Linked DNA regions of Rattus norvegicus. The protein of the gene in region 4 interacts with the protein of the main gene of each other region in a biochemical or structural test. Links are inferred from orthologs where the notes say so. Each region holds a gene or a part of one and is shown on either strand. Other genes may lie near its edges.

What was found.
Region 1: the proteins of Rela (region 4) and Pias3 form a complex in vitro, tested with the Homo sapiens proteins (2 studies listed by BioGRID, with this or other methods). The link is inferred for Rattus norvegicus from reciprocal best matches to the Homo sapiens genes RELA and PIAS3.
Region 2: the proteins of Rela (region 4) and Tle5 form a complex in vitro, tested with the Homo sapiens proteins (2 studies listed by BioGRID). The link is inferred for Rattus norvegicus from reciprocal best matches to the Homo sapiens genes RELA and TLE5.
Region 3: the proteins of Rela (region 4) and Dpf2 form a complex in vitro, tested with the Homo sapiens proteins (2 studies listed by BioGRID). The link is inferred for Rattus norvegicus from reciprocal best matches to the Homo sapiens genes RELA and DPF2.

What each region holds. Positions count from the first base shown.
Region 1 is NC_086020.1:186,924,622-186,928,660, reverse strand, and holds part of Pias3 (E3 SUMO-protein ligase PIAS3), read right to left. Parts: coding exon 3,991-4,039; intron 3,838-3,990; coding exon 3,753-3,837; intron 3,666-3,752; coding exon 3,615-3,665; intron 3,391-3,614; coding exon 3,300-3,390; intron 2,861-3,299; coding exon 2,726-2,860; intron 2,537-2,725; coding exon 2,431-2,536; intron 1,993-2,430; coding exon 1,919-1,992; intron 1,808-1,918; coding exon 1,647-1,807; intron 939-1,646; coding exon 805-938; intron 726-804; coding exon 557-725; intron 404-556; coding exon 270-403; intron 109-269; coding exon 71-108; intron 1-70. UniProt on the Homo sapiens protein: Functions as an E3-type small ubiquitin-like modifier (SUMO) ligase, stabilizing the interaction between UBE2I and the substrate, and as a SUMO-tethering factor.
Region 2 is NC_086025.1:8,792,922-8,798,428, reverse strand, and holds the end of Tle5 (TLE family member 5), read left to right. Parts: exon of another isoform or gene 1-1,965; intron 1,966-1,971; coding exon 1,972-2,035; intron 2,036-2,564; coding exon 2,565-2,609; intron 2,610-2,727; coding exon of another isoform or gene 2,728-2,742; exon of another isoform or gene 2,743-2,762; coding exon 2,763-2,825; intron 2,826-3,215; coding exon 3,216-3,290; intron 3,291-3,410; coding exon 3,411-3,632; 3' UTR 3,633-4,306; downstream 4,307-5,507. UniProt on the Homo sapiens protein: Transcriptional corepressor. Acts as a dominant repressor towards other family members. Inhibits NF-kappa-B-regulated gene expression. May be required for the initiation and maintenance of the differentiated state.
Region 3 is NC_086019.1:212,621,089-212,625,795, forward strand, and holds part of Dpf2 (zinc finger protein ubi-d4), read right to left. Parts: intron 1,948-4,707; coding exon 1,787-1,947; intron 1,405-1,786; coding exon 1,297-1,404; intron 490-1,296; coding exon 326-489; intron 1-325. UniProt on the Homo sapiens protein: Plays an active role in transcriptional regulation by binding modified histones H3 and H4. Is a negative regulator of myeloid differentiation of hematopoietic progenitor cells. Might also have a role in the development and maturation of lymphoid cells.
Region 4 is NC_086019.1:212,352,805-212,357,958, forward strand, and holds the start of Rela (transcription factor p65), read left to right. Parts: upstream 1-1,531; 5' UTR 1,532-1,592; coding exon 1,593-1,599; intron 1,600-2,185; coding exon 2,186-2,212; intron 2,213-2,303; coding exon 2,304-2,455; intron 2,456-2,610; coding exon 2,611-2,759; intron 2,760-3,631; coding exon 3,632-3,723; intron 3,724-4,049; coding exon 4,050-4,181; intron 4,182-4,887; coding exon 4,888-4,992; intron 4,993-5,154. UniProt on the Homo sapiens protein: NF-kappa-B is a pleiotropic transcription factor present in almost all cell types and is the endpoint of a series of signal transduction events that are initiated by a vast array of stimuli related to many biological processes such as inflammation, immunity, differentiation, cell growth, tumorigenesis and apoptosis.

The DNA.
Region 1 (4,039 bases), on a different chromosome or scaffold from region 4:
GAACATATCATCAGTGTCTACAAAAAGGACTCTCCTGAGATCTTGCATCTTCCTAGACATGACCACTTACCTGACTCTCAGTCTGAAGGAAAGAAAATAAATCTAAACCTGGTAGGAAAAGAAAAATCAAAATCAACCCCCTTCTGACTCCTTCACCACAAGAAAAAAAAAAAAAAAATTCCCCCTGTCCCTAGGGCTCTGCAAAGAAACAGGTCTGGACAGGGTACGAGGGCAGGACCCTCCCCTCCACCTTAGGGTCAGCGTTCTACCTTGGATGTCAGCCCCCAGCGGGAAGGCAGGTGGGTACTCATGTAGTGGGAGACTAGACAGGAAATCACTGCCCAGTGTACCCATTGCAGGGCTCCGCAGCACCGAAGACGGCTGGTGACCAGAGGTCAGGGCTCTGTAGTGGGGAGAAAGAGCTGGAGAAACCAGCCAAACACGGCTGCCCAAGGTCCCATCGTCCCTGCCCTTCCCCATCCCATAGCTTGCCCGGTGGCCAAAAGGCAGTTCTGACATCTGCCCCCTCCGATACAGAAGCAGCCTTTTCTCATACCCTTTGCTTCCAGGAAGGGCTGGAATGGCAGCCGAGGTAACAGGGCAGTGCTTCTTGGTGGGGGGCAGATCTTCCTCATCTGATGAGCTTTCGATTGTCAAGTCAATGACTTCAACCCTCTTCTTATTCTCTGACTGATTTCCCTCCTGGACTGGGCTATACTGGAGACCTATGGGTGGTTCAGAAGGCTGTCTCAGAAAAAGGGCCACCCATGACTGAGTGCAATGGGAGAGCAGAGGGTCACTCACCATCCAGCCCATACCCTGGTGGGGGGCAAACCTCGGATGCCTCCTTCTTGGGTTTCATTGGACACCAGGATCCATCTTCCATGAACTGGATCTCATCACAATCCGAACAGGAATTAAGAATTTCCATGAATAAACTAGGGGAGGAGGACATGGCGATTCACGACCCTGGCTGGAAGACGGCTGGAAGCGCACTCAGTGTTCTGAGACTCACTTCCTATGCCTTAGTCACCTCGTCTGCATTATCCACCCCACTGCACCTCTCTGAACTGACGCTGGAATAGGAGGACAGCACAGGCTGGGACTGCAGCTCAATAATAGAGCACTTGCTTAGCATGCAGGCCCTGAGTCTGAACCCTGGCATTGTGGGGGAAAGTATGTAAGAGAGCTGTGGAAGGGGACTAAGACTAGAAAACTTGCTTATTAAGGGTTAGGGTGGAAGACTAGTTATATAAGCCCATCCAGGATCTCAAAAAACAAAAACAAAAACAAACAAACAAAAAACCACCCTTATTGTGTCGACCTAATAAATGCTTTTGTGATAGGAAAAACGAGGAGGAGCCCTGACTGCAATGCTCTGCAGGAAGGTCTGGTAGTCGTCAGCAATGCATTTGGAACAATTCAATGCACAGCCCTGTCACTTACGAATGTGACCTTCAGTCCCTTTCCCCATCTATCATGATGGCACCTATGTCGTGGGGCTATCAGGGGGACTACTGAGAAAATGCAGTCAGAGTGCTCACGTCCTTAATGTTACGCACATGGTGGAGGCTAAAGGAGATGGAAACAGTGAAAGCTGGGACTTAGTGACTGTCCCAGAACAGAGGGAAGCTGAAGAGCCCTACCCATCAATAATCAGTGACTCATAGGGAGCCTTCTTGTCACACACAGGGCACGTCCATGTTGGCTTTTTCTCATTCATCTGTAGATAAAGGGCAGCATCGAAACTCTGCAGGTGGGCACAGGTGAGAGCGCGGCATGGGACAGTCAGGCGCATCTTCCCCAGCTGAGGAGAGGAGAGTTCACTCTAGCAAACCTCCCTCTAGTATCCTGAGGGACCCTCTTCAGAATGTATCCCAGCCCTCCTCCCACTTCCTGTCCCCCACCTTGTACCCACCGGGCACATGAGTGACACCCGGAGACTTGTAGTAGCCACTTCACTGTCGGGGTCAGCAGTCAATTTCTCCTTGACTGAAACAAGGATGGGGCCATTTCCAGGGGTCAGTGAGGCTGGAAGCAGCCTGGCAGCAGACAGCCCCAGATGACAGGCAGCTGGGTAGAGTGTCTGGGGGCTCATGGTGGGTCACAGGAGTGGAGAAGAGATGTCTACATCCCTAAAGATGCTTAAACAACGCAAGGTGAAATGTGGGCTACGTTAGGGACGATCCAGATGGGAGGATTGGACTTCAGGCTTCGGTACAGAGAGCTCTGTCTTAGTAGGGTGGGATTAGAATCTTAGGAGGGTGAGATACAAAACTGTTGTGTGATTCACAATGCAAAGCTCTTCCCACTGCCTGAGGGTCTAACTCCTCAGCTGAGACTGAGGAGAAAACCAGGGAGACCATATGCAAGAGCTGTTCCTGAGAAAGCCTGAGCTCAAAGTAGAAGGAGGAAAGGACTGTTACTCACTCAGTGCTCGGGAATGGTCTGGATTCCGGATACCCTTGGCTCTGAGCTTTTGTAGCAGGGTCCCTGCAGTCAACTGCCTCACCAGGTACACAGACAAGGAGTAATTCTACTTGGGGAAGGGAGAGGGAGCATCAGTTTCTGCTTCCCACGCCTCCTCTTTCGAGATGGCCTTTGTCTCACAGAGACCAGAGACAGTGGCCTTTAGCACAGAGACCTAAGAGCAAGATGAATCCCCAACTCAAAACTAGATGGCCCCCTGCAGCCTCTACAGCCTTTCGGCTTCAGCAATGCTCACCCGTCCAAACTCAGATGACCAGTTAACCACTATGGTGTTGGGAACAGTGGCTGAGAGACGAGCCAGGGGTGTGATGTTGATTGGACGACTAGGCCTCTTGGGCTCAGCTCCATTCTTGGTTGGAGGGAGGTAACCCTGAGGAAAGGAGGGATTTGTTAGTGGAGAGAGAGCGCTGGGAGAGGTTCAACTCTAACAACAGAACTCCTGTCTCAGATTACTCTCTGGAGGATGGCCAGCTCACCCAGGAGCAAAGGAATCAGGATCCGCTGAAAAACAAGGGCCCTGGTAGGGCTGGTGTAAGGGAGTGAAAGTGGGAAGGAACCCAGTCACTGGGTCCCATGGGTCCACTTCATCTAATATCACCTTTTAGAGGTCTTTTCATAGTAAACTAGTGTCCCTCTACTGGGTTCTGACAAAAACTAGTCAGCCCTATTTTAATTATCGCTAGATTGTATTGATTTCATCAATAAATTGAGCAACTACTACGTGCCAGGCACTGTCCTAAGCATGTCTTTTCATAAGAGGTTTTTACTTAATATTTATTCCTTGCCAAAGGGAGAGACTCTTTACCTACCGGCAGGGGGCAGAGTTTCCCATTAACCTTGACAAAGAGGTTAGGGGGGAAATAGTCCTCCTGGGGGCAGCTGGTCTCACAGAGACAGAACCTGGGGAGAAAGGACAGACGAATGGGGGGTTAAGTGGCAGTTTTCTGATGTGAATCGAGAACTGAGCAGGGAACTCCAGAAAAAAGAAAAACTAGCCATAGATATCTGTAGCCATCAGCATCCTGAGGAGTCATGGGCCAGAGTGGACTGGGGCTGGGGGCGGGGTGGGGGGGGAGGATGCCATCTACCTATTTAGCACCCACCCTGGATAAGGAGCAACTCACCTGAGCTGCACTTGTATGGTATAATCGCACTTGGCTCCTGGCAGAACCTCCCTGCGCAAAGTAAGAGCAGTTCAGAGCAGAAGCAAGCCTGGGGCACAGAGAGGAGAGTCGGCAGGGACAAGGCGGGGATGGGTGTACCTGGATGTGAGAATCTGCTGCAGCTGCTGGGGAGTGAGTGCAAAGGTAAAGTGGGCTTCCTCAAACCTCTGACTGGAGGTGGACGCTGTGGACACAAAGGCACCGTCATTCCCAAGCCCCTGCCTGAGAAGCTACTTGCTTCCATCCCACACTGCTGATCCTTCAAGAGTAAAACCTAATAGGAAAAATTCCAGCCTGAACCAGAATCCAGAAAGCCTGAGAGACCAGTCAGCCATACCAAGGGTGGTGGGCCGGATGAGCTCTCCGTAGACTTCGTAGAAGGGCAG
Region 2 (5,507 bases), on a different chromosome or scaffold from region 4:
ATAAAATCTTTAAAAGACCCTTAGATTTCTCCAAGAAAAAGGTAAACCTCAGTGTTTGTGGAGTTTTCTATTTTAAAAAATTATTTTATTTAAGTTTTTGGTATTTATTTTGAGACAGGGTCTTATGTGGCCCAGGCTTTCCCTATATAGCCAAGGATGACCTTGAGCTGCTGACAGGACAGGACAGGCAAGGCCCAGGGGGTGCTAGGCCAGCCATCTACCCGCTGGGCGGCTCCCCCAGCATTTGCCATTTTAAAGAGGAATTTAGGGCACCATTTTGAAGAGGGATTTAGGCACCAGTGCAGGCTATGCCCGCATGGCTCTGGGACCACTCTTAGGGTGACTTCTGCCAGGACCTGCAGGGCAGACAGAGGCTGTGTGTCATCCCATAGGCAGATGCCATCTCTGAGCTGCATTGTGCTGCCCTCTGTGCACTGGGCCTGGGTTCGGGACTGGGGAGCGGACCTCGTGCACTCACGGTCGAGCCGCAATAGCCTTATTTATTGTGTTTGTGTGTGTGTGTGTGTGTGTGTGTGTGTGTGTGTGTGTGTGTGTGCGCGAGAGAGAGAGAGTATGAGAGAGAGAGGGAGGGAGAGGGGCCACAGTGTGACTCAGGGTCCACCACTCAGTCTTGCATCCCTGAGCGAGTGCGGCCTTCACTTGGAGAGCATATCAGAAGTTAGCTGGGCTAACAAGCCACGCTTTTCCCATTGCTCCTGTCTGAGCCACAGGCCCTTGAGCGGCTGAGCCTGTTCAGGGCTGGCCGAGAACAGGGTCACTGTGCAGGCTGTGTTGGCCTCCCGTTCCTGACCCTGTGGCTGCGCTAGGCTGGCTTTATGTTTGTTTGTTTTTTGTTTTTTGTTTTTTTCCAGGACAGGGTCTCACTCTGTAGGACAGGATGGCCTCAAACTCACAGACGTCTACCTGTCTTACCCTCCCAAGTTTTGAGGGCCTTTTGGATTTAAAAAGAAATATTTTGATGGGCTTGTGGGCACAGGACTTTAACCCCAGCACTCAGGAGGCAGAAGCAGGCAGATCTCTGAGTTCCAGGACAGCCAGGGCTACACAGAGAAACCCTGTCTTGGAAGAGAGAGAGAATGGGGGGGGGGAGGTAGTGCTGTTGTTGAGGTGGAAGTCAGAGGACAACTTGGGGGAGTCACTGCTAGGCAAGAGCCTACCCCACTGAGTAGCCTCATAGGTCTGGAAAGCAAGCCACAGACCCAATCCCTTGATTCCACTGACCTGTCCTGGTCCAGGAAGGTTGCCACTACAAAGAGAAAGCAAGTGGAGTCCAGAAAGGTAGAACAGCCAACCTAGAATCACACAGCAGCAGAAGGCAAAGAGACCCCAGCCTCCAGCCCCGATGAGACTAGAGAGATGGGCTGGACCTGAAGAAGTTTCCTGAAGCCAGGACACCATGGGGTGTCTGTTCCTTTCAGCCCTGGGCCATCTCAGTCTTCAGCATTTGTTGTTGTGTGGAGATATCTCCCCAGGTTTGAGTACTCGGGTTACCGCCGGCTGTGTGACCTTGAACCTCTCACTCACCCTCTCTGGGCACCCACTGAATCCCATGTTAAGATGAGATAGGGGGATGACAAGTTCTGCAGCCCTCATCTCCTGCAGGAAGGTACCTCTGACTTTGGTGGTTGTTATTCCATTGAGAATGCTTTTGGAATTTCAGTAGGGGAAACTGAGTAACCTCGCCTGCCCAGGATTGCAGAAAACCCAGGGGTGTCCTTAAATGCAGCCAGATGTGGTGTTTGGCCCTGTCTCAGTTTGCATCTTGGGGCTGTGGCTCAGTTGGCAGGAGAATCAGGACTTCAAAGTCATCCTCAGCTACATAGTGAGTTCAGGGCTAGCCTGAGCTACATGAGACCCTGTCTCAAAAAAAAAAAAAGTTTTTGGCTTGACCCTCCAGAGGTGCCCCCTACCCCGAGGGGACCTCAGTTGCCTTCCCTTGTGTGTCCTCAGCCTGAAGCTGGAGTGTGACAAGCTGGCCAGCGAGAAGTCAGAGATGCAAAGGCATTACGTCATGGTAAAGCCCTCTCGGGGCGGGGGCGGGGGCGGGGCGTTGTGAGCGGCGACCCCAGACTCCCCACATACTGCAGGTGCCTGCTACCGAGTCCCCACAGGCTATCGGCAGCCTGGCCACCAGCCCAGGTAGTGGCTGAGGTGCCAAACCACCGGCTCGCAGCTCAGGCCGGCCAGGTCTCAGCCGTCCTTGGCGGGCTGCAGGAGGAGGCAGCTGTGGAAGCCTGCCATAGCCAGCCGGAAGCAACAGTTCCCTCCCTCCAGGCCATCCGGATGGCCAGGCATCCCTTAACCCTTCCTTGACCAGAGACCTCCTAACCCCCACAGGACCAAAGGGATTGTGCTTCCGTCCTTTAGTTCCCAGCAGGGGAGGTTGCTGGGGTCTTGGGGCATTGTGACTGGGGTCTTGAAGAACAAATAGGAGCTCACTGGATGGGGGTAGGGTGGAAGGGCATTGCTGGAATGTGCAGGGAGAAGCAGGCCACCCATAAGGCCACAGCCCTTTGGCCCTGACACGCTTCTCCACCTCACAGTACTATGAGATGTCTTACGGATTGAACATCGAGATGCACAAACAGGTGAGCCTCAGTATCCCTCCTCCATGACCCCAGTGCCCTGTGATTCCCAGACTGAGCATTGAGGCCACTCCTGTTACCCCCAGAGGTGGACTCAACTCCCCCTCCCCTGCCCTCCAAGTGCCCCAGGTACTGAGGGAAAACCATGTGTTCCAGGCTGAAATTGTGAAGAGGCTGAATGGGATTTGCGCCCAGGTTCTACCCTATTTGTCCCAGGAGGTAAGCAAGCCACCAGCAGGGAGCAGTGGGATTCCCTTCTCCCTGTGCTGAGCAACCCCCTGAGCACACACCTGCCCTCTCTGAACTTAGCAAAGGTGTGAATCGGAGCAGCTGGAGTCAGACCCCTGTGGCGAGGCAGAAAGTGCTACCGGGGTGGGCGGGCCGGCGCAGATGATTGATGGGGGACCGGGTGGGCGAACTCTGAGGAAATCGCTGTGAAGCTGGATTCCTAGTCTCCCACCCCGCCAGCCCCTGAGCCCCTAGGACCGGACTTCCCTTGTGCACTCGAACCGATTGCCCACTGCACAGGAGCCTCCCCCTTATGTTTAAACTCCAGCCTGACTGTCCCTTTGCCTGAGAGAACTGTGTCTCCTCCCTTGCCTCTTCCAGCATCAGCAGCAGGTCCTGGGAGCTATCGAGAGAGCCAAGCAGGTCACGGCTCCCGAGCTGAACTCCATCATCCGAGTAAGTCGGAGCTCCTGGTGGGCGGGGACTTGGGTGGGCAGGTGTATGACCCACGGTGACTGGGGTCAGGTGACAAGACCCTGAGCTGACTCTCACCCCACCCCCACCCTCGCCCCACAGCAGCAGCTCCAGGCTCACCAGCTGTCCCAGCTCCAGGCGCTGGCCCTGCCCCTGACACCGCTGCCTGTCGGGCTCCAGCCGCCATCCCTCCCTGCGGTCAGCGCAGGCACAGGCCTGCTGTCACTCTCTGCTCTGGGCTCTCAGACCCACCTCTCCAAGGAGGACAAGAACGGACACGATGGGGACACCCACCAGGAGGATGATGGAGAGAAGTCCGATTAGCTCCTGGGGAGAGGGAGGGGGAGGGGGGATACCAGGGGAGACAGGCACAGAGAGCACAGTGTTCTGAGGGCCACACTGCACACAGCTCGGTCCCTACCCAAGCTTCCACCTCCAGTCCTGGTTCCAGCTGTGCACCCTGGGCCTAGGAGACGCCAGAGGGACAGCCCAGGCTACAGGGAAAAATTCCCCACCTTCAACATTTCCCCGGGCTACAGCCACCAATCTCGGCCCAGAATGTACACAACGCTAGCCGCCCCTTTCCACCCTGTGCACCCCGAATTTGCCCCCTTTCCCCTTCTCTGCTTCCTGCACTGCACACCTGCTAGGCCCAGACCCCTCCCCCCAGCTCACCCAGCTCTGGTTCCCTCAACCGCGGAAAGAAAGCATTGGCTCGGGACTGCAGTGGGGGTGGGCACCCCACAAACTTCCCTCTCCCCTTCCCCAAATAAACGTGAGGGTTAAAAGTCGGTTTGTTTATTATTTCTTTTTCGTCCCAGTACTCTATAGCTACCATCTAAGAGAGAAAAAGAAGGAAGCCCTGGAGCGAGCGAGGGTCTGTCTGTGCATATAGTTAGATTTTTCTGGTCGCCTCGGCTTTGCCACCGAGAGGTGGAGGGCCGCTGTACTGAGGGTGGGGTCTAGCTGTGCCTTCAAAATAAAAACATGAAAAGGTCGGATGGTGTGTCCCTGCCTCTGTCTTGTGGGGTGGGGACCCCTTTCCTCAGGGCACCCTGTGTTCTGCAATAAGACACTCCTTGAGCAAGCAAAGGCCCAGAGGGTAAACTGGGGCCCTGCAGTCCTGGGGCAGGACGGTGCAGCTCAGTGCTCAGGTTTTCAACTGTTTTGGCAGGGTGGCCTGTGGCACCCACATGGGTGCCTTGGTTACTTTCTGAGAGGTGGCCTGAAGGCTCTCTGTACCCCTTCCAGGCTAGGCTGTCCCCTGGGGACCATGCCTTTTTGGGCCTCAGTTTTGGGCCTTTTTCTGTCTTGGTTTTCTGTGTAGCCCTGACTATCCCGAACTCATTCCTCAAACTCATAGAAGTCTACCTGCCTCTGCTTTCTGAGGCCGGGCAGTGGCGTCCTGTGCCACCTGTTTTCTTTATTTGTTTTCTGTTTGTTTTTCATTTGCTGGTTTATCGTGTCTGTCCGGTTTGAGGACCTCTTACAGGAATCTGTCCTCATCCTCCTTGTATCCTCGGGGTCAAACCCAGGGCGTCACTCTTTGTAGCAACTCCTTCACAGCAAAGCCATGGCTCTCTCAGCCAGTTTTTGTTGTTGTTGTTTCAGACAGGGTCTCACTGTGTAGCCCAGGATGGCCTGGAACTTGGTTTGTAGCCTGGGCTGGCCTTACTCGGATCCCCAGATTGTTTCTGTGTTTTGAGACAGGTTCTTGCTACAGCTCTGGTCCAAGCACTAAGAGGCCTGGAGTTCACCCTGGATCTTGGGGTACTGAACCCACTCGGGATCTTCAGCCAAAGAGTCAGAGGGTCTAGGGGGGCCAAAGCTTCTCCTCCCTCTGCTCCTGGGAAATCATTTTGAGGTATCTCATTGAGGGGTTATTGCCCCCTTTCCCCCTGTGGCTCTTGTGGGGAAGGTCCTGCCAACAGCTGGACTGGCAGTACGGGGACCCCAGGGAGAGTGCTGAGCCAGCTGACCTTGTATAATTGATCACCTATGTTCTAGTCACCTGATGAAGTGTGGAGGGGGACAAGGAGGGGGCTGAGGGTCCCAGCTCCTTATGCCCAAGACTTGAGCCTAAGACAGCAATGGTGACCAGGTGACACCCCCTCCCTGAGGTCCTTCCTTAGGGATTTTGTGGCTTTCTGGAGTCCTCCTGAGGGAACTTCTGCTACTCCATCTCTGTTTACCCATCAA
Region 3 (4,707 bases), about 270 kb from region 4:
GAAGGAGTGTGGAAGGCTAGATGGAGCCAGGCTGGGGCTGGCAGAGCCCAGGACTGCAGGGCAGCCTCCGCCTCCATTTCGGCTATTTTTGTTTTTTGTGTTAGGGCTTACACATCAACAGGCATGTATTCTACCATGATCTGCTTCAGTTCTACTAATTGGACCAAAAATTGGCTCAGAGGTTAAGAGCACGGATTGCTCTTCCAGAGGTCCTGAGTTCAATTCCCAGCAGCACTTGGTGGCACACGATTAGTGGTCCAATTAGTAGACCCAAAAGAGGCTGATCCTTATTAAAGTCCTTTAGCCATAGATAGGAACGACATACCTTCCGTGCTCGACTGTTGGTAACAGGAAACTCGCCCAGGCTGTCATCATCAACTCGGGGATCTGGGGCACCCCGTTTCTCCAGGGGATCAGTACGCAGCAGAGCCTCTAAACTGCTGCCATCCTGGGAGATAAGGCCCTCTTTCTTCAGAGTCTGGTCCGTGTCTGCAACAAGTCAAGATGAAGCTAACTCAGAAGGGCTGAAGCTGAATCTACACCACGAGGGGCCAAGTCAAACCCAGCCACTTCTGTTCTCCAGGAACCGAGATGTATCTGTTCAGCCGGCACTGGAATAAGCTGCATTACCTGTTTTCACTAACAGTGGGCTCCCTGAAGGACAGAAGCAAAGTATGTGCAAGCTCAACAGAGCCTGGGGAGAGCCGGCAATCAGCAAGCCTCCCCTCATACAGACCATGGCCTTCCTGAGAAGGGAGCCCCTTACTTGGTTTATTTACTCTGGATTATTTTAGTCATGACATATAAGACATAATCATATATGTCTATATGGCGCATGAACACATGTGGCTACACATGTTGGGAGGACACTGGGGGCTCTGCCTTATTGCCTTGGAGTCTCTCACTGAATTAGATTGGTAGCTAGAAGCGCCAGCTCTGTACTCAGAGTTTTGGGATTACAGGAACATGTTGGCCTTGGCCACACTGAGCTTTGTATAAATGCTAGACTAGAATTTAGGTCCTTGTGTTCACACAAGCACTGGGACTTCTCTCCAACCCATATCATTTTGAGGGAATTTCATGGTTTTTGAGGCTCTCATGTAGTCCAGGCTGGTCTCAGACTCTCTATTAGTAGAGAATGACCCTGAATTTCTAATCCTCCTGCCCCAACCTCCTCAATGGTATTGTTATATAGGAATATACAACCATGTTCAGTTTATGCAAAGCAGGATATTAAACCCAGGGCCCAGTGTATGCTGGGTGACACTCTAGCAACTGAGCTACCCCAGCCTCTACCTGGCTTAATAGACGGGAAAGAAAGCCTGGGATCCTCAGGTGGGTGGGCTCGACGCTTTTTTCGCCAGCGTCGGGCAGGGTAGGAGTACAACTGTCCAGAGGCCAATCCTGTGGAAGGAAGGAAGGGAAGGAAGAACTATTAAGCCCTAATCCAGCCTAAAAACAACGGCAAACATCTTGTAGATGAGAACTTTATTGAGTTCTAGAGCAAGGGTACAGAACATGTGAGCCTGGGCCGGGTGGGGATACTTCATGGTAAAGAAAAACAGATGTCAGTTGAAGTACACAGCTGTTCTTAGTCCTCGGAAGATCATAGCTGCCTCAGAGGCTGAAAACAAAGGCCGGCTGCTACATCCCCCCTGGTTCTCATCTACCAGTGTGACAGTGGTGGAGCCTTCTACTACCTAAGGAGCCTAAGGAGCATCTCCTAGGGGATAGCAGATGCTTCCTCGTGCTCCTGTGCCACCGTTCCTGAAGTCTGCGACCTTACCTGGGCCCCGGTGCCGCTTTTCCATCCAGATGTAACAATTGCTCTGGGCTACTCCAGTCTGAGAGTCCAAGAAAGGCAGACGCACGCTACGCTCGGCACACAGGCGGGCATTATAATTGTGGCACTGTTCCATGGCATCTTTGTAGTACTGCTCCCCAAGGCTGCAGGACGGTAAAACATAGAGGGATGGGGTCAAATCATCCTTCTTCCCTGTCAACTGCTTCTCTCAAAGGCTCAGGGATCTAAGAGACTCTCTTTCTGTCATTTGCCTCCTATTCTGCCTCAAGGGACAAGAAGAACCTTCACTAAGCTATCACATGAGGAAAGATAAGTTACAGAGCCCCTGAATAATAATCATGGGACACACAAATTTATCATGTGTATAGTCAGACATAAACTTTTTAAATATTTGTTTGTTCTGAGACAAGGTCTCTTTCATTCTTCAGCCCAAGTGCTAAACTCATGAAAATCCTCCTGCCAAGTCAAACTTAAATCTTAATCCACATAGAGTGAAGAATGGTCAAGGAAACAGATGTGGTAGAAAGCTTGCTCAGCCCGCACAGGGCTCTGGATTCAATCTGTCACTACTGGGGGAGGAAGAGACAAGAAAGAAATGAATGGCTCATTCTGTGGTTCCCATATGTCCAGCTCAAGCTGGTTAATGCTACCTGTCTTAGCCTAAGCATCTGAGCTGCAGACATTACTGTAGATATTAACTTCCTGACAAATGGGGAAAACAACAAGATCTAGGACTCGTCACAAGATTTTTAGTGCACTATTAGCAGATTCACCCGTCAAAACGCTATTCAGTTCTAGAAAATGGTACATATGTCTAATAGTAAGACTAAGGTAGGTATATTACCCTAACTTCAAAGCCAGTTGAATCAGACAGCAAAACTCTGCCTCAAAATTCAAACTAGGCTGTATGGTGGCACACACCTGTGATCCTAGCACACGGGACGGGAGGTATAGGTGTTAAGTGATCCTCAGCTAGATATGTAGTTCAAGGACAGCCTCAACTACACAAGACTAAAAAACCAACCAACCAAAACAACAACAAAAAACCAATAAAACACAACAGAAATGCCTCAAGAAGCAGAGGCAGGTGGAATTCTGGGTTCGAGGCCTGTCTCATCTGGATAGAGTTCCAGGTCAACCAAACACTACAGAGAGACCCTGTCTCAAAAACCAAACAAAAACCAAACAAAAAAAAAAAAAAAAACAAAAAACAAAACAAAACAACAACAAAAAAAAAAAAAAAAAAAACAAAAAAACAAACCAACAAACCCAAAACACCTGTTCTCGAGGAGGACCTGTCCAGGTCTGGTTCCCAGAATCCATATATATAGTGGTTCACAGTTAGAAGGATCTAATTCCCTCTTCTGGTGTCTGTGGGGACCAGTCACACATGTGGCACACATACATACAGGCAAAACGCTCATACAAATAAGATAAAATTTAAAAGCTCTTCATGTACAAACAATCCAAAGGTAATTAGGGGAAAGAAGGCAGGCACAGTGCTGAGAAGTGCCATGGGGTAGGACCACTTTTACTAAGCACTACAACTAGTAATAGAAAATCTGTTACACCAAAGCCCACCTCAGGCTCTTCCCAACCGACACCAAGAATTGTCTGGTGTTGGAGGAGGCGATCTGAAATCTGAGGGGCTCTCTAAGTACTTTATAACAAGACAGCAAACTGGAGAGCGAGGGGTTTTGTGGTTCTAAGCATGTTCAACGACCCCACCTTGTTTTGGTTCAGTAAGTTTGTAAGGACTCATTTTTTTTTTTTTTTTTTTTTTTTTGGAGCTGGGGACCGAACCCAGGGCCTTGCGCTTGCTAGGCAAGTGCTCTACCACTGAGCTAAATCCCCAACCCCAAGGACTCATATTTTTAATCAATCAATCAGTCAATCAATCTTTTTGTTGTTCTGGGGCTCATATGCAGAACCTCCAAAGTGCTATATGTATTCTACCACTGAGCTATATCCCAGTCACATATTCAATCTTTTTTTTAAAACGATTTATTTATTTATTATATATAAGTACACTGTAGCTATCTTCAGACACACCAGAAGAGAGCTTTACAGATGGTTGTGAACCACATGTGATTGCTGGGATTTGAACTCAGGACCTCTGGAAGAGCAGTCAATGCTCTTAACCACTGAGACATCTCTCCAGCCCTCAATCTTTTTTTTTTAAAAATAGTGGTTCGTGTAGCTCATTCTCACCTCCAACCCCATATGCAGTCAATAGTGACCTTGAATTTCTGATCTTCCTGCCTCTACCTCCCCAAAAGGCATGCACTACCACATCCAGTTTTATGTGGTGCTCGCTAATCAAACCAGGATCTCTTGCATGCTAAGCAAGTATTCCACCAACTGAGCCACATTCCAACCCCCACCCCACAAAAAAAAAAAAAAAAAAAAAAAAAAAACATTGAGGGCAGAAGAGACTTCTTTCCCATAGTATCCCCAGGACCCATGAAGGTGTCATCTAGATCACATCAGGATGGATTTGGGAGTAAAAAGACTGATTTTGGTACAGGCACCACATGGACACAGTCATGTGGTTAATCTGTATGAACCTCCATTCCTCTCCTATAGATTGGGGCAGTTAGATTAGATGATCTCTGGCCTGCCAGGATTCTGATGGAGATAGTAGGGATAAGGAGGCATGAAAAGCAAGAGGGAGAAGGTCTCAGTCTCAGTGGCCAATACCTACAACTAAAGCTGTATGGACAAGCACTAACGTAGGATCTGATAGGGACTTTCACTGAGCAGTCACAGGAGACCACTGCATAGCTTAATAAAAACACACACACAGCAACACTACAAGTACAGCCTGAGTTGATTCAGTGAGCAGTAATAACTATAATTAAGGTATGAATGTGTTGGAGCGCACAGCACAGAAGAGAGCAGGC
Region 4 (5,154 bases):
GTATTGACTCTTAGCTGATGGGCCATCTCTCCAGCCTGTAGCCATCTTTTTTTTTTTTTTTTTTTTTTAAGAGCATCTTCTGTTGCTCTGGATGGGTTCAAATTATGTAGAGGAAGATGACCTTGAACTTCTGACCCCATGAGTACTGGGATGACTGGAACATCCTAGACCTAGGAATCAAACCCAGAGCTTCCTTCAATGTTAAGAACTTTCCTGAGTTGCCATCTCTAGCCCTTATTTTTCAGTAAGTACACTCATGTTCATATTAATTAAATTGCAACTATATGTCAGTTTTTAAAAGTGGTTCGTGCGAGGATCAATGATGGCTGTGTGCCATTAATCGGAGACCATAATTCATTCTGTCACCTTGATGTCCGCCCCCGCAAAACATTAAACTGCTTTTTCTAATCTGCGCCAAGTGAGAAACTGAAATGAGTGGGAGGGGCGGTAACTATTTTCACTTTTGTCTTCCTGTTTTTTTCAGAGCCTGGGAAAGAAGTCAGAATTTCCAATCTTTTCCAATTCCCACATGATTTCCTAATTTAGAGAAAATAAGTCTTTCTCCATGTGCTAAAGCCTCCTCTGCCCCCCACCCCGCCTCCTCCTTCTGGCATTGTGGAGGGAGCCTGATGTGTTGATTCCTCCAGCCAGTGTCCCCAGACTCAATCTGCACACCCGCCCTTGGCTTAGATGGCAATTTTCTCTCCCTACAAAAGCTTTCATCACTGGAGCTCAGGCTCCTGGGAGGCCTTCAAGGAGATGCTCAAGTGGTGTGACCCTGGCTAGCTCCGGAGATCCCTAGGGATCTGAACCTTAGCAGACAGGACCTATCTGTGGAGGCGAAGCCCTGGAGCTCTTCCAGCATTCATTGCTCTCAGGGACTCTTAGAGGTACAGGTGTCTACCTCGGTCCCCTCTACACCAAGGCCTCAGTCAAGCCTTGATGAAGCATGCTTTGGGAAGCACTCCTGCGCGCAGCCGGATCTAGGTTGGGAGCATATGGCCTGTAACGCGCGGCGGTCCCCAGAAGGCCCTGCACGAGTAGGAAAACGTGTGGAATTCAGTCACTGTGCTCCGCGGAAGCAGCAGGCCTGAGCCTCTCCTTGTGCAGGGCGAATGGCCGCAGCCTGCCAGCAGCCCGGGCTCTGCTCCAGACCAGGCCAGGGTGACATCACCAAACTCTTGAGATCAGAGCGGGGCGGGGAACGGGACCCGAAATCCCCTAAAAACAGAGTGAGTAATCGCGGGCCCGCCCTCCAGGCGGGGCCCGGACACGGAGCGAACCGCGCTGCGTAGTCCGGGAGCGGCTTGCAGTCGGGCGGGCCTCAGGACGAATAGCCTCGGCGTCCTACCGCCGCGCTCCGGTGTCCCCGCCCGCGCGCCGCACACCTTCCGCGCCCAGCGTGAGTTGCGCACCTGCTCTCGGCCCCCACGCGCGTCGGTGGCGGCGGCGCAGCGCGCAGGCGCGGCCGGATTCCGGGCAGTGACGCGACGACGGGCGCGCGCCGCGCATTTCCGCCTCTGGCGAATGGCTTCGCTTTAGCGCGCCGTGGGCTCAGCTGCGACCCCGGCCCCGCCCCCGGGACCCTGGCCATGGACGGTGAGGCTGCCCTCTGGCCCGCGGGACGGCTGCCCTAGAGTTCCGGGACCTGCGGCGGGATCCCCCTCGCGCCGTCTTCCGCCCCTTTCTGCGCCGCGGGTTGCTGCGCAGGGAGCGGCAGGCCGGATGGTGGCACGGGGCGGGGCGGGCTGCGAGGGGTCTGACTCAGTTGCCCCTCTCAGTGGAGGGCGCCTTGACTCAATGTCCCTCCTGGGTGGGAGTACGGGTGAATCTTGACTCAGTTTCCTCCGGCTTCCCCCCCCCACCCACTGTGTCGATGCGATTAGTTCTGGCTTCCTTTCCGTGTAAGGGAGAAAGTATCTGACTCAGTATCCCCCGAAAAGGAGAGGGGGTAGAACCCTTCCTCAGTGTCACTTATGAACGTAAAACAGGCTCTGACTCAGTTTCCCCGGGCAAAGGAATACCTCTGTGCCCCTTTTCTCTAGTAGAGAGATGCTTTTGCCTTCTTTACCTGGCCTCTTTCAGGGCAGGTCTTAGGATCTTGGCTCAGTTTCCTTTGGAGGCATTCCCTGGTGAGGGTGGGTACTGGAGTTTATTGACAGTGTGCCTTGTCTTTCCCTTTCAGATCTGTTTCCCCTCATCTTTCCCTCAGGTAAGTGGACCATCCTTCCTCAGTAGGTAGGGGCTGTCCTGGAGTAGGGGCCATGGGGGCAGCACCTAATGGCTGACCGTATCACCCACAGAGCCAGCCCAGGCTTCTGGGCCATATGTGGAGATCATTGAGCAGCCCAAGCAGCGGGGCATGCGTTTCCGTTACAAGTGCGAGGGCCGCTCTGCAGGCAGTATTCCTGGGGAGAGAAGCACAGATACCACTAAGACGCACCCCACCATCAAGGTAAGCAAGAGCCCCCAGGGGTGTCGGGGTGGGGACACAGATGTGGTGGAAGGCACTGTGGAGCCCCAGCAGACTTGCCTCCTTGCCACCGCGCCCCGTGTCTAGGAGCCAGATTTGGGATTGCTGGCCTCTAAAGTACTCTGTACTTTGGACAGATCAATGGCTACACGGGACCAGGAACAGTTCGAATCTCCCTGGTCACCAAAGACCCACCTCACCGGCCTCATCCACATGAACTTGTGGGGAAGGACTGCCGGGATGGCTTCTATGAGGCTGAACTCTGCCCAGACCGATGCATCCACAGGTGAGTCTGAATAGATAGGCTGGGGGTAGTGTGAGGTCAGGGTAGGTAGGGGGCAGGGTAAGAGCAGGCTGGGCCAGGCAGCTGTTACAAAGTTACACTTTTCTAAACACTGGCAGAATCCAGAGTCCTTGCTCTGTCCCCAGGTCTGCAAACAGACCCCCTTTGTCTTAAATTCGCTAACAGATGGGAACTCTTTATCTTGGAGCGACAGATCCTTTATGACTGGATAGCCCAGTCCCTTAGGCTCTTGTATCAGAAAGTCCGTAATGGACTCTCCTAGAGCTTAAATACCAGTTGGTAAAACCAGGGGACAGTTGTACAAACAGATAGAAAAGATACTAGTGGAGAATTATAATTTCCATGATGAAAAGAAAACACAGTAATAAATTAGAAGGAGGAGGAGGCTGGTCTCGTGGCATAGGGACAGAGTCTCATATAGCTGAAGCTGGCCTTGCACTCATGAGGGTTCACCTACCTCCTCTTCTCAACTCCAAGGGTAATAGGCGCGTAGCACCATGTCCTGTTACGTAGGTCTCATGACTTTGGGTTGGAAGATTGCAGAAGGCCTCTGTGCTAACACTCAAATGGTGAGAAAAAGCAGACAAGCCCAAAAGAACATTGCATGCACAAGAAAGAAGTATGGTGACCTGGAAAAGGGACTAAGTTTAGTGTGCTCAGGGACGGGACAGGAAGGCCCTGTGGCTGAGGCTAGGACACTGACTTGGGGGCTGGTGTGGGCCAGGTCCCTCAGAGACTCGCCAGTGGGTAAGGAGTGGGTTCATTGTAGCACAGTGGGAAGCCTTGAGCTGTGAGCTGAGGAGTGGGAAGAGGGTGTTCTTTTGGAGACACAGAACTAATGCCTGAGGCCTCAGCTTCCAGAACCTGGGGATCCAGTGTGTGAAGAAGCGAGACCTGGAGCAAGCCATTAGCCAGCGCATCCAGACCAACAATAACCCCTTTCAAGGTAGGAGCAAGGGGCAGGACATAGCCTGCCTGTGGTGCACATTCTGCCACCTTCCCTGGGCCTCTGGCGCTCCTCACCCTCCATGACCAACCCAACAGTACAAGTGGAACCTCGCTGCCAGCATGGTACACACTCACATGCTACCGTTGAGAGTCAGGCCTAGAAAGGGGTGGTGTATTCAGGTCCCAGTAGAGCCGTGATGGGTCTAGGATTTTGTCTTCCTCCCCTTAGACTTCTGTTTTATATATCCTCAAATCACCTTCCTCTTCCCTCAGAGCTCCCTGCCCTCCCCATGCCTTCCACCACTTTTTTTTTTTTTTTGACAGTTCCCATAGAGGAGCAGCGCGGGGACTATGACTTGAATGCGGTCCGCCTCTGCTTCCAGGTGACAGTGCGGGACCCATCAGGCAGGCCCCTCCGCCTGACCCCTGTCCTCTCGCATCCGATTTTTGATAACCGTAAGTGGCCAGCTGCAGTAAGGGGAGAGGGTGGGCTTGGGAAGAGAATGGGGCTGGGGTGGGTGTGGCCTTGCTGCAGGGGGCAGGGCAGAGAAGACCCAGAGCTGCCTCTGTGGGAAGCTTGCAGGATGCCCTGGAGTTGGATGGGAAGTGACTGTTTTCCATATCTTGTGTTGAGATGCTGGTGTGCCAAGAACTGTGCTCATGACTTTAGGAAACCAGATAAGGCTAGACAGCAGTAAATGAACATTAGTAGCTCACAGGAAGCTCTGATGACCTGGGCTGACACTGATGGATTGCAGTCTTTAGCAAGCAGCAGAGCAAATGAAAATAGAAGGGCTTTAAAATCCTAAGGACTGGAAACCAGTATGAACTGGAAGTGAGGAGCAGAGGGCTCATTGCCAAGGCAGGGATGAACCAAAAGCTGAAACTCTGAAGCTCAGGTGGAAGGAGACAGATGTGGCCAGTGTCTCCTCTGGACTGGAAGGTCTGTGAGGGACGGAAATGCAGCCTTCCGTGTCCCTCTTACCTAGAGCCGAGCTACAAGCACTGCAGGGAGACTGTGGTGAACTGGCTGACCTGAAGAGCAGACAGCAGAAGGTCTGCAGAAGTGTAGTCACAGGCTGTGGGCGACCTTGACACACGGCTGGGCTGGGCGTGACTGTTACGGCTCCTTCGGGGTACCCTGAGACCTCTGATGTTTCAGGTGCCCCCAACACTGCCGAGCTCAAGATCTGCCGAGTAAACCGGAACTCTGGGAGCTGCCTTGGTGGGGATGAGATCTTCTTGCTGTGTGACAAAGTGCAGAAAGGTACACGTTGGACTCTGTGCACCGAGAGGGGAGGGGAGAGGCTGAGCAGGGGTGATGAGTGCCAGCTACCTCAGTGACTTCAGGGGAAGCGGGAGATGTCACAGGGAAAAGCATCAGGTGCTGAGGACAACAGTCTGTCGGGGGTCACACATACTAACCCGT